Macaca mulatta: one gene and its partners. The protein of the gene in region 3 purifies or fractionates together with the protein of the main gene of each other region. This does not show direct contact. Links are inferred from orthologs where the notes say so. Each region holds a gene or a part of one and is shown on either strand. Other genes may lie near its edges. The genes, in order: MAPK11, PGRMC1 and DUSP9.

Evidence for each region.
Region 1: the proteins of DUSP9 (region 3) and MAPK11 purify together in Homo sapiens (affinity purification with mass spectrometry; 4 studies listed by BioGRID and IntAct, with this or other methods). This does not show direct contact. The link is inferred for Macaca mulatta from reciprocal best matches to the Homo sapiens genes DUSP9 and MAPK11.
Region 2: the proteins of DUSP9 (region 3) and PGRMC1 purify together in Homo sapiens (affinity purification with mass spectrometry; 3 studies listed by BioGRID). This does not show direct contact. The link is inferred for Macaca mulatta from reciprocal best matches to the Homo sapiens genes DUSP9 and PGRMC1.

The regions. Positions count from the first base shown.
Region 1 is NC_133415.1:1,180,906-1,185,216, reverse strand, and holds the end of MAPK11 (mitogen-activated protein kinase 11), read right to left. Parts: coding exon 4,271-4,311; intron 4,188-4,270; coding exon 4,158-4,187; intron 4,076-4,157; coding exon 4,028-4,075; intron 3,950-4,027; coding exon 3,835-3,949; intron 3,514-3,834; coding exon 3,442-3,513; intron 3,208-3,441; coding exon 3,128-3,207; intron 2,599-3,127; coding exon 2,520-2,598; intron 2,430-2,519; coding exon 2,256-2,429; intron 1,959-2,255; coding exon 1,879-1,958; 3' UTR 644-1,878; downstream 1-643. UniProt on the Homo sapiens protein: Serine/threonine kinase which acts as an essential component of the MAP kinase signal transduction pathway.
Region 2 is NC_133426.1:125,722,640-125,725,649, forward strand, and holds the end of PGRMC1 (membrane-associated progesterone receptor component 1), read left to right. Parts: intron 1-1,082; coding exon 1,083-1,186; 3' UTR 1,187-2,400; downstream 2,401-3,010. UniProt on the Homo sapiens protein: Component of a progesterone-binding protein complex. Binds progesterone. Has many reported cellular functions (heme homeostasis, interaction with CYPs). Required for the maintenance of uterine histoarchitecture and normal female reproductive lifespan.
Region 3 is NC_133426.1:159,885,857-159,888,827, forward strand, and holds the end of DUSP9 (dual specificity protein phosphatase 9), read left to right. Parts: coding exon 1-148; intron 149-1,107; coding exon 1,108-1,563; intron 1,564-1,831; coding exon 1,832-2,157; 3' UTR 2,158-2,436; downstream 2,437-2,971. UniProt on the Homo sapiens protein: Inactivates MAP kinases. Has a specificity for the ERK family.

The DNA of each region.
Region 1 (4,311 bases), on a different chromosome or scaffold from region 3:
GCCCCAGGAGGGCCCCCAACTCCCAGACAGTTTCCACCCCTACCCAAGACCCAAGCAAGGGCACAGACTGTCCCTGGCCCCTAGAGACACTGCCTGACCCCAAATGGTCTGGCCCCTCCCCCACACGTAAGCTGCAGAGCATAGTGGGAACGGGACCAGCACACACATTCTCTGGGTTAAAGTGGCCTCTTTTTCCTTCACCAGGAAGGAAAGGAAAGCTATTTTCCCTAGCCCACCCAGCCCCCACCCAGGGATGGGCAGACCCTTGCTCCCTTGACACCCAACTCCCCCCCAGCCAGCTTCCCTGACCACTGAGGGGTAGGGAGGTGGTGTCTGGATCTTGGCCCAAAGCCAAGCCTGCCCAGTACATCCCCACAGGGCAGCTGGGGTCACCATCTGGGTGGCCGTCCCACCCTGTGCCCTCAGAGCCCACCCATCAGCCGTGTCCTCCCCTGGTCCCCCTGGGCTCAGACCCTCCAGGGAGCAGGGAGGGTGCCAGAAGATGGCCACTGGTCTGACTGGGGGCCTGAGGGATCTGGCCAGCTAGAGGTGAGTGATGCAGAGTGACCCAGACACTCCCCCCATGCCCAGCAGTGGGGATGGCGGGGGCAGCAGGGCCTGGAGTGGCCTTTGGATATGAACCGAGCGAGATAACCCCCTTTATTGTGCACCCCTGGTGCAGGCACTTGACACCCAGGCTTCCCTGGGCCCCTCGAGGCAAGAGGTCACCCCCTTTCCAGGGCAGAGCCATACCCCCAACTCAGCTCTGGGCAGGGTCCCGTCTCCGAGGTTACTGGATCAGCTCCATCCTGGGACAAGGAAAGAGGAATGACACGCAGACCAGAGCACCTCAGATCTCCGGCTGCAGGGCCACAACGGTGGGCAGAGGTAGAGAGCGGGCCAGGGTGCGGCGCACAAGTGTTCGAGTCCAAGTCCACACCCGCGTGTGCTGCCTGCCTTAGCGTCCTCAAGGCCAAACCACCCAGTCACCCCCAGCCTCAGGAGCCTGCTGCGGGTCACATATCCGAGGAGAAAGCCCGTGCTGGCGCTCATGTGGCTGCCCTTTCGCCCACTGGAGCCCCCAGTCTGAAACACCCCTCACAGCATCAGGAACTGAGGAGAGGGAAGGCAACAGCACGCCCGCCCCAGCGCCAGCTTCTTGCCAGGCATGGCTGCTGGCCCTTAGGCGCCCACAGATTCACATGCACCATATCACATGTGCCCTGACATATGAACACGAGGAGTGCACGCTCATCCACATGTGCCCACACACACCCACGGGTGAACACAAGGCTCCAGGCAGCTTTTCTCATTTGACACCTGGTGGTTGTCCGTGCCCAGCCTGGTGGCACACTGGCTCTGCCACTCCTCTTAGACCTGTGGGTCTCAGCACTGACCAGGACAGCCCCCTACTTCCAGGCTGAGCAGCTCTAACCACTGAGACCTCTCCCTTTGAGTCTCCCAGGGTCCCGGCCCCAGCGTGTCCTCCAGAGAGCCCTGGGACAGAAGAGACCCCAAGGTTGATGCTCCCCAATGGGTCAGCCTGGGACAGACAGGGGAACTCCGCAGGGGTGCCCTTTTGGCATCCAGGACCCCACAGTCAGGTCCCAATGGAGAGCGCAGTAGCCAGAAGGGAGCAGGAGGACCAAGGTAGGCCCAGGGACACTTGTGCCCAGACTCCTACACATGGCAAGCACATGTACACACATGTTTGTGCATGCATACATGTGTGTAGATTATCCTGAAGGCGAGGGGTCCTAGGCCAGGAGTCAGTGACCATAGGAATGTGGGAGGTGCCTCTTGAGGAAATCGGACCAGCTGTGGAAGGGTGCAGGCCCAAGCCCCTCCACGAGCTCTTAGGGGCTGCTGGGCGGCACCTCACTGCTCAATCTCCAGGCTGCCAGGCGGCTTCGGTGGCTCTGGGGGCTTGAAGCTGAGGACTTCCTGGTAGGTGAGCTCTAGGAGGTGAAGGGAAAGGGTGAGCCTGTGCCTCCCACAGTCCAGCCCCCCACCTGCTTGTCTGGCACCTGCCACCTAGCCCAGGCCCACCACCCTGTGACAGCAGCCTCAGCAGAGTCTGGGAGCCAGAACCTGCCCTGTGCCACTCCCCAACCCCACCCACCCCCAGCCTGTGCTGGACACCCGAACGCCCTTCCACACCTGACCAGTCTGGAGAGGAACCGGGGCATTTCCTGCCTCTGGGGAAATGGAGCCTGCAGGCCCCTGGACCCACCCACAGCCACTGCCATGCCCACCCTTCCACTCCTCCAGCGTGCGCTCCTTAGCCTCAACGCTCTCATCATACGGCTCGGCCTCTGGCTCATCCTCAGGGTCATGGTACTGGCTGAAGTAGGCGTGGGCCAATGCCTCGGCAGCACTGACCCTCTGGTCACTGTCCAGCACCAGCATCCTTCCAAGGAGGTCTATGGCTGCAGGGGAGCCAGTGGCAGGGAGGAGAGGGTCAGCTCTGTATCCAGGGCCAGATATGGAGCCCAGTCTAGCCCCAGGGCAGTCCTCACCCAGGGGGTTGGCTCCATGGAAGATGCTGCTCAGGTCCTTCTGGGGCATGGGGGGCAGGGACTGGATGTATGTCCGGGCCTGGAGGGCACACGAGAACACCTGGGGAGGCTGCTCACTCTCTGCCTCCCTGGCCCCAAACTGGGGCTTCTCTTGGCAAGCCCCCAGACTCAATTCACTCCAACAGGCTAGGACAAGGGCACAGGCAGACCAGTGACTCTCTCCACATAGGGTCCGGTGACTAGCTCCTCACTTGGCCCCTAACGCCTGCAGGAGCTGGGTCCAAGTACACTCCCTCCACCCAGCCCAACCCCACTGCCCTGGCCAGGCACTGCTTGCTGGGGTCATGGTTTTGCACTCACTGTCCCTGGTGTCAGGAACATCTTCCCCCTTCTCCTGTTTCCCCTGCAGGGATTGGCACCTGACGTAGTCTCTATCCCACCACATCCCATGTTCCCCATATTGTCCCCACATTTCCACACCACCCTCTCCCCGAGAGAGCCTGGGACTCGACCAGCAGAGGGAGGAGACTCGACCAGCAGAGAGGCAGACTCGACCAGCAGAGGCAGAGAGCCTGGGACTCGACCAGCAGAGGCAGGCACCAACTCACGTGTTCCGAGGAGATCTTTGCCAGAACCTCGGGGCTGGGTGTGCCCACCACTTCCATGATGCGCTTCAGCTGGTCAATGTCTGTATCACTCAGGAAACACCCACGGGCCAGCCAAGGACCTCTCTTGGGCCCCCAGACCCAGAACTTTGGGGCGCTGCCCAGAGCCCGCTCTCCTAGAGCTGAGGATGGCCAGCCCAAAGTAGCATGGCATGGGGGGCAGAAGAGGCAAGACCCGCCAGAAGGGGCCAGCACTGGTCCCTACCCTACAAGAGGGGCCCTGTTTGACCCTGCTCCCCAACCTGAGCCAAGGATACAGTCGCTTCCCGGGAAGAGGGCCTTGCCCTGGAGCAGCTCAGCCATGATGCAGCCCACGGACCAGATGTCCACTGTTTGAGGGCGAGGGGGCCTCCATCAGTGTGCTCACCCCAAGTCCCTCCTCCAGGAGACCCACAGTCACATCCAGGCCCTGAGATGGGCAGACCCCCTCCTCCGCCATACCCAACCCCCCTGGGCAGGGGGAGGCCTGTAGCTGCAGGGCCAGAGGAGGCCAGCACCCGTCATGCTCTAGCGGCCTCTGAAGGGCTGCCTTTGAATGTGGGTCCCACATTCTTGGGGACCTTGCCCGCCCCCCAAGACCTGGCATGCAGAACCAGTCCAGGGCCAGACGAGGCCCTCGGCCTTCGTCCCCCCAGGCCTTCCCCCTGCACCTGTCTGGTTGTAATGCATCCAGTTTAGCATTATCTCAGGTGCCCGGTACCAGCGCGTGGCCACGTAGCCGGTCATCTCCTCATCTGCCTGGCGCGCCAGCCCGAAGTCCAGGATCTGGGGCGACCACGAGGTGTTCTCAAGCTCCTCACGGGCTTCGCCACCGCCCCGCCCATCCCTGCCCGCGGGCCTCACCCTGAGCTCACAGTCCTCGTTCACAGCCACGTTGCTGGGCTTCAGGTCCTGCAGGTCACGCGGAGCGTGAGCACAGGAGGCCGGGACGGAGCCCTGCTGGACCCGACCCTCACCCTGCGGTCGCACCTACCCGGTGGATGATCCCGGCCGAGTGGATGTACTGCGGGAGGGGGATCGTGGTGAGCGCCAGGCCCGGCCCGCCCGCCCCCCGCGAGGGGACCCGCGAAACCCAGGGCGCCCTACCTTTAGCCCGCGCAGCAGTTGGTAAACCAGGAACTGAACGT
Region 2 (3,010 bases), about 34 Mb from region 3:
TCCTTCCTTTCACTGTCAAACTTCTTACAAGTTTTTGCTCCTAACCACTGCTTCATTTCCTCTCTATACCTTCTTCCTCCCTACAGTATGGCTTCTATCCCCACAATTGGATTGAACTCTCTTTCTGAAAGATTTTCAGGGAAACCTTTTTTTTTCCTGCCAATCCTGACTTCACTTGTCCATTCCATGTTGTAGATGTCCTGTCATGTGAGCCTCCAGAATGGCTCCCTCCACAGAGTTTCCATTTTGGTCCATGGGAACTCCAATTTTCACTTAATTCATGCTTCCAGTTTTCTTTCAAAGTACTTCTCATTCTGTCCTTTTCCATTCCCCTGGACACCACCCTACTCCTGCCTCTGGTTCGTTTGCATCTGGATCTGCACGCTAGCCTCCGGATCGCCCTGTCCCCAGTCTCTCCTTACTGAAATCTGCCCTATGCACCACATTGATAATATTGTTGTTAAAACACTATTTTACTGTGTCATTCCTTCGCTTGTAAACCTTCAGTGCCCTTTGCCACCTATAAGTCCGGTCTCCTCAGGCTGGCTTTTCAGATCTTTCATAATATTTCCCCACACTACTTAGCCAATCTTATCTCCTACTAACTTCTAAATGTTAACTACTCCTGCCAACTTGGTCTCTTTACTGCTTCCCAGATACATTGTCTCACCTGTATGCATTTGTACATGACGTTTTCATTTTCTGGAACTCCCTCCCTAAATCCTTGTATACATTTTTTCCAAAATATATCCTCCTTCCATGAAGTATTCTGTAACCCTTCTGATGAACTCATAACTTGCCCTTGTTCTTCTAAACATTCCCTACACACAAACAATTCATTTTGACATTACCTTGCACACTCATTGCCAGACATTGCCACCTGTTTTATATGTCTATCTTCTGAATAAAACGAATTCCCTGTTAGCAAGGACAGTGGTATAAACCACCTTTGTATCCTTCAAGAAGCCCAACACATTGCTGAGTATATTGTAGGCCTCTAATAAATGCTTTAAATTGAAATGTGGTAATGATGTTTTAGAAAGAATGAGAATGACCATTTGTGTTTTCTTCTCCACCTCCAGTCAAGTATCATCACGTGGGCAAACTGCTGAAGGAGGGGGAGGAGCCCACTGTGTACTCAGATGAGGAAGAACCAAAAGATGAGAGTGCTCGGAAAAATGATTAAAGCATTCAGTGGAAGTATATCTATTTTTGTATTTTGCAAAATCATTTGTAACAGTCCACTCTGTCTTTAAAACGTAGTGATTACAATATTTAGAAAAATTTTGAGCACTTGCTGTAAGTTTTTTAATTAACATCACTAGTGACACTAATAAAATTAACTTCTGTCTTAGAATGCATGATGTGTTTGTGTGTCACAAATCCAGAAAGTGAACTGCAGTGCTGTAATACACATGTTAATACTGTTTTTCTTCTATCTGTAGTTAGTACAGGATGAATTTAAATGTGTTTTTCCTGAGAGACAAGGAAGACTTGGGTATTTCCCAAAAAATCTTAAATGTGCACCAAGAACAAAGGATCAACTTTTAGTCATGATGTTCTCTAAAGATAACAAATCCTTTTTTTTTTTTCTCAATTGACTTAACTGCATGATTTCTGTTTTATCTACCTCTAAAGCAAATCTGCAGTGTTCCAAAGACTTTGGTATTGATTAAAGCACTGTCCAGTAATGAAATCTCAAAACAGAGCTCAGCTGCAAAAAAGCATATTTTCTGTGTTTCTGGACTGCATTGTTGTCCTTGCCCTCACATAGACACTCAGACACCTTCACAAACACAGTAGTCTATAGTTAGGATTAAAATAGGATCTGAACATTCAAAAGAAAGCTTTGAAAAAAAACAGCTGGCTGGCCTAAAAACCTAAATATATGGTGAAGATTGTAGGACTGTCTTCCCAAGCCCCATGTTCATGGTGGGGCAATGGTTATTTGGTTATTTTCCTCAATTGGTTATTCTCATTTGAAATGAGGGAGGGACATACAGAATAGGAACAGGTGTTTGCTCTCCTAAGAGCCTTCATGCGCACGCCTGAACCACGAGGAAACAGTACAGTCACTAACCAAGTGGATTTTAAAGTAAAGTATATTCATAACATAACAGTTATTCTGTTGTTACAAAACTATACCCACTGCAAAAGTAGTCGTCAAGTGTCTAGGTCTTTGATATTGCTCTTTTGGTTAACACTAAGCTTAAGTAGACTATACAGTTGTATGAATTTGTAAAAGTATTATATGAACAGCTAGTGAGATTTCAAACTCTTGTAATTGTGGTTAAATAGTCGTTGTATTTTCTTGTGAACTGTGTTTAATGATTTTACCTCAAATCAGAAAACAAAATGATATGCTTTGGTCAGTTAATAAAAATGGTTTTACCCACTATAGTGTGGTGACTTATTTAAATTTTTTAAAAAACCTTATTCTAGGGAATCTGATTCAGACATTTTACTTTGGCTTAAAATTCAGTTTCACTTTTGAGTGCAGAGTTTTTGTATTCCAAAAGAAACAAGCGGCAAAATTTCACGGAGACCCCACACCAAAAACCAAATACCAGCTTGTCCTGTTAAGACATAGTGAATTGAATTGCTTTTTCTGTGACTTGTCAAAGTTTTGCCTAAATCAGAACTTTCTAAACTGTAAATGGCAGATCTCCACCTTGAAGTCTATAGCCAGGTTCTTAAGAAGTAGTATTACTGAAGACTTTGTCATTGCCAAGTACTAAGGAAGGGTTTTGGGTTTTTTTATGTTAATGAATTTTCTGATCAGGAAAGTATCAGAATCCTTACAGTAGCAAAGTTAATTCACCTCATATCAAAAGAAGAATAACAGATTTGCATATGCAGTCAGTTGTATAAACAAAGACAACCCATTAGTGTTTTGTCATTTTAATGTTAACATTGGCAGAGTTTTCTTACAAGAGATATACTCCCTGAACCAAAGAAATTTCAATTTTTCATGTTATCAAACCACATTGCAGGTACTTGTGAGTTTTTT
Region 3 (2,971 bases):
GCCCCGGTGCTCCTGTACGACCAGGGTGGGGGCCGGCGCCGGCGCGGGGAGGCAGAGGCCGAGGCCGAGGAGTGGGAGGCCGAGTCGGTGCTGGGCACCCTGCTGCAGAAGCTGCGAGAGGAAGGCTACCTGGCCTACTACCTTCAGGGTAGGTGCCGCGGGGCCCTCCTTCCAGGGCGTTTGGGATTCATTTGACCTTAGGCCAGCCCCACTTCTTTTTTTCCAAAGCGAGTTGAGGCCCCCCTCCTCTGATGACCTGCCAGGCTGCTTTGAGAGGAGGGAAGCCTGAGTGTGACCGTGGGCAAGTTCTTTACCCTCGGCAGCCCAGTCTCTGAGCCTGGAAAATGGGGAGAATTGGCCTGACCTGAGCTAGTTCTCAGGATGCTCAAGAGCGAAGTAGAAAGTGTGGGCTCCCCAGGGTCTCGGCAAGGGTATCGCCACCTCTCCCACCTGCTCAGCAAATGAGCAAGGGAGGCAGGGGTCAGACAGCATTGGTGCAATCACGGCTCACTGAAGCCTCCTGGGCTCAAGCGATCCTCCCACCTTAGCCTCCTGAACAGCATATAAAGTGTCAGGTTTCCAGGCCGGGGAAATAGTATCTGTAAATAGAGATGCTGGCTTCTTGAGACTTTAGAACCATTCTGGTGGAATGTCACATTCTCCCCCAAGTTCCCCACATCTTGGGGTCCCACTTCATCCCTGAGGGTCAGGACATGCCCAGGCAGAGAACTTCCTTTTCTTTAACTGATGGCCACAGTCCTCCCTAAGGCTGGCAGTATATCTCAGCTCTGTTGAGCCCTCACACCTGCCTCAGCTTGACCCTAGGGGTGTAAGATCCTCTCCGGTGGTTCAGCGTGAGCCCAGCTTCTTGCAGCCCCAGCAGCTGCAGTGGGCACTTGCTGTCCAGAGCAGTGGCCGAGAGTGCTGAGTGAGGGTGGCTAGGGCTCCACGTGGCACCAGGACACACCAAGCTGCTGGGTTTTGTGTTCCTTTTAGGAACATTTGCAAACCCTCCAAGTTGTCTAGGGTCAGCTCCCCAGCCCCAGACAGAGGTACTTGGCTGCCCAGGAGGCCAGGTCAGCAGGCCCCATGCCCTCTCCCCCACAGGTGGCTTCAGCAGATTCCAGGCCGAGTGCCCTCACCTGTGTGAGACCAGCCTTAGTGGCCGTGCCGGCTCCAGCATGGCCCCGGTGCCCAGTCCGGTGCCTGTAGTGGGGTTGGGCAGTCTGTGCCTGGGCTCCGACTGCTCTGATGCGGAATCCGAGGCTGACCGCGACTCCATGAGCTGTGGCCTGGATTCGGAGGGTGCCACACCCCCGCCAGTGGGGCTGCGGGCATCCTTCCCTGTCCAGATCCTGCCCAACCTCTATCTGGGCAGTGCCCGGGATTCCGCCAACTTGGAGAGCCTGGCCAAACTGGGCATCCGCTACATCCTCAATGTCACCCCCAACCTCCCAAACTTCTTCGAGAAGAATGGCGACTTTCACTACAAGCAGATCCCCATCTCCGACCACTGGAGCCAGAACCTGTCGCAGTTCTTCCCGGAGGCTATTGAGTTCATCGGTGAGTCCGCCCCACCCGCCCTCCCCAAGACCTGCTCTGGCCTCCCCCTTGTGAGCACTCCTCCCAAGCCCAGCTGCCATTCCCAGAGCCAAAAGCCAGGGTGGCACTTCTAGGGGACAGGCAGAGCTAGGGCGGCCCCCAGAGGCCACCAGCGAAAACTCCAGGCCGTGGCCATCTGGCTCAGGGGGCAGGGCGGGGTCTTCGGAAGGCCTCGGCCTCACACACGCTTGCCCTCGGGGTCTCCCGGGCCCTGTCCTGCCCCATCTAGATGAGGCCTTGTCCCAGAACTGCGGGGTGCTCGTCCACTGCCTGGCGGGGGTCAGCCGTTCTGTCACCGTCACTGTGGCCTACCTCATGCAGAAGCTCCACCTCTCTCTCAACGATGCCTATGACCTGGTCAAGAGAAAGAAGTCTAACATCTCCCCCAACTTCAACTTCATGGGGCAGTTGCTGGACTTTGAGCGCAGCCTGCGGCTGGAGGAGCGCCGCTCACAGGAGCAGGGCAGTGGGGGGCAGGCATCCATGGCCTCTGACCCGCCCTCCTTCTTCACCACCCCCACCAGTGATGGCGCCTTCGAGCTGGCCCCTACCTAGGGCCCAGTGGCCGGCGGGCCGGCCCCTGCCCCACCCCCACCCACGGGTGTCCCTGCCCACTCGTGCGGCAAGGGAGGGGAGGGCGGGAGGGCTCGGCCTGAGCAGGGTGCTGGGGGGAGAGCGCAATACCTCACGCGGGCTGGCGTCCTAATCAACGTGCCTACGGCAGGGCTGCTCTAAGCCTGCCTCTTCTGCGACTGTTACTTTTTGCTTTGCGGGATGGGGGTGGGGGTTCCCTCTCCAGGTGGTTGTCCAGGCCCCGGCCCCGGCCCTGGGTGCTCGGCCAGCTCGGCTGGGCCCTGCACCTCCCTGCGCTTCCTCCTTCAGGAAGGGTGTGTCTCACCTTGTTGCCACAGGGACTGGCTCCCAGTCCCTCCCCTGTCCCCAAATGGTTGCTTGGGGGAGAGGAGTTTGCCATCACTGGTGTTGTCACCTCCCTGTTTCTCCACCAAGGGCTTGGGCCTCTCGGGGCTGGGGCCTCCCAGGGAATGGGGACCCAGAGGTGCAGTGGCTGCCTGCATCCATGGCCTAGGAGCGACTGGGCAGGTTCCCGGCCACACATCTGGTGGGCTTTTTTTTTTCCCTCTTCCCCCAGATGTCTTGACGGGATCACTGGGGCTCTTTGTGAGTGAGGGTGGTCAAACTGCTGCCGGAGGAGATGGGGTCTCAGAGCGAGAGCTGGGGAGGGGGAGGGGAAGAAGAAGGCCTCACTTTTGCTGCTGCGGGGCCCACACAGCCGCTGCTACTTTGGGGGCTGGGGAAGGGGCCAAGCTGCAGACACACACAGTCATTCATTTCTGCCCACACCCCTGTG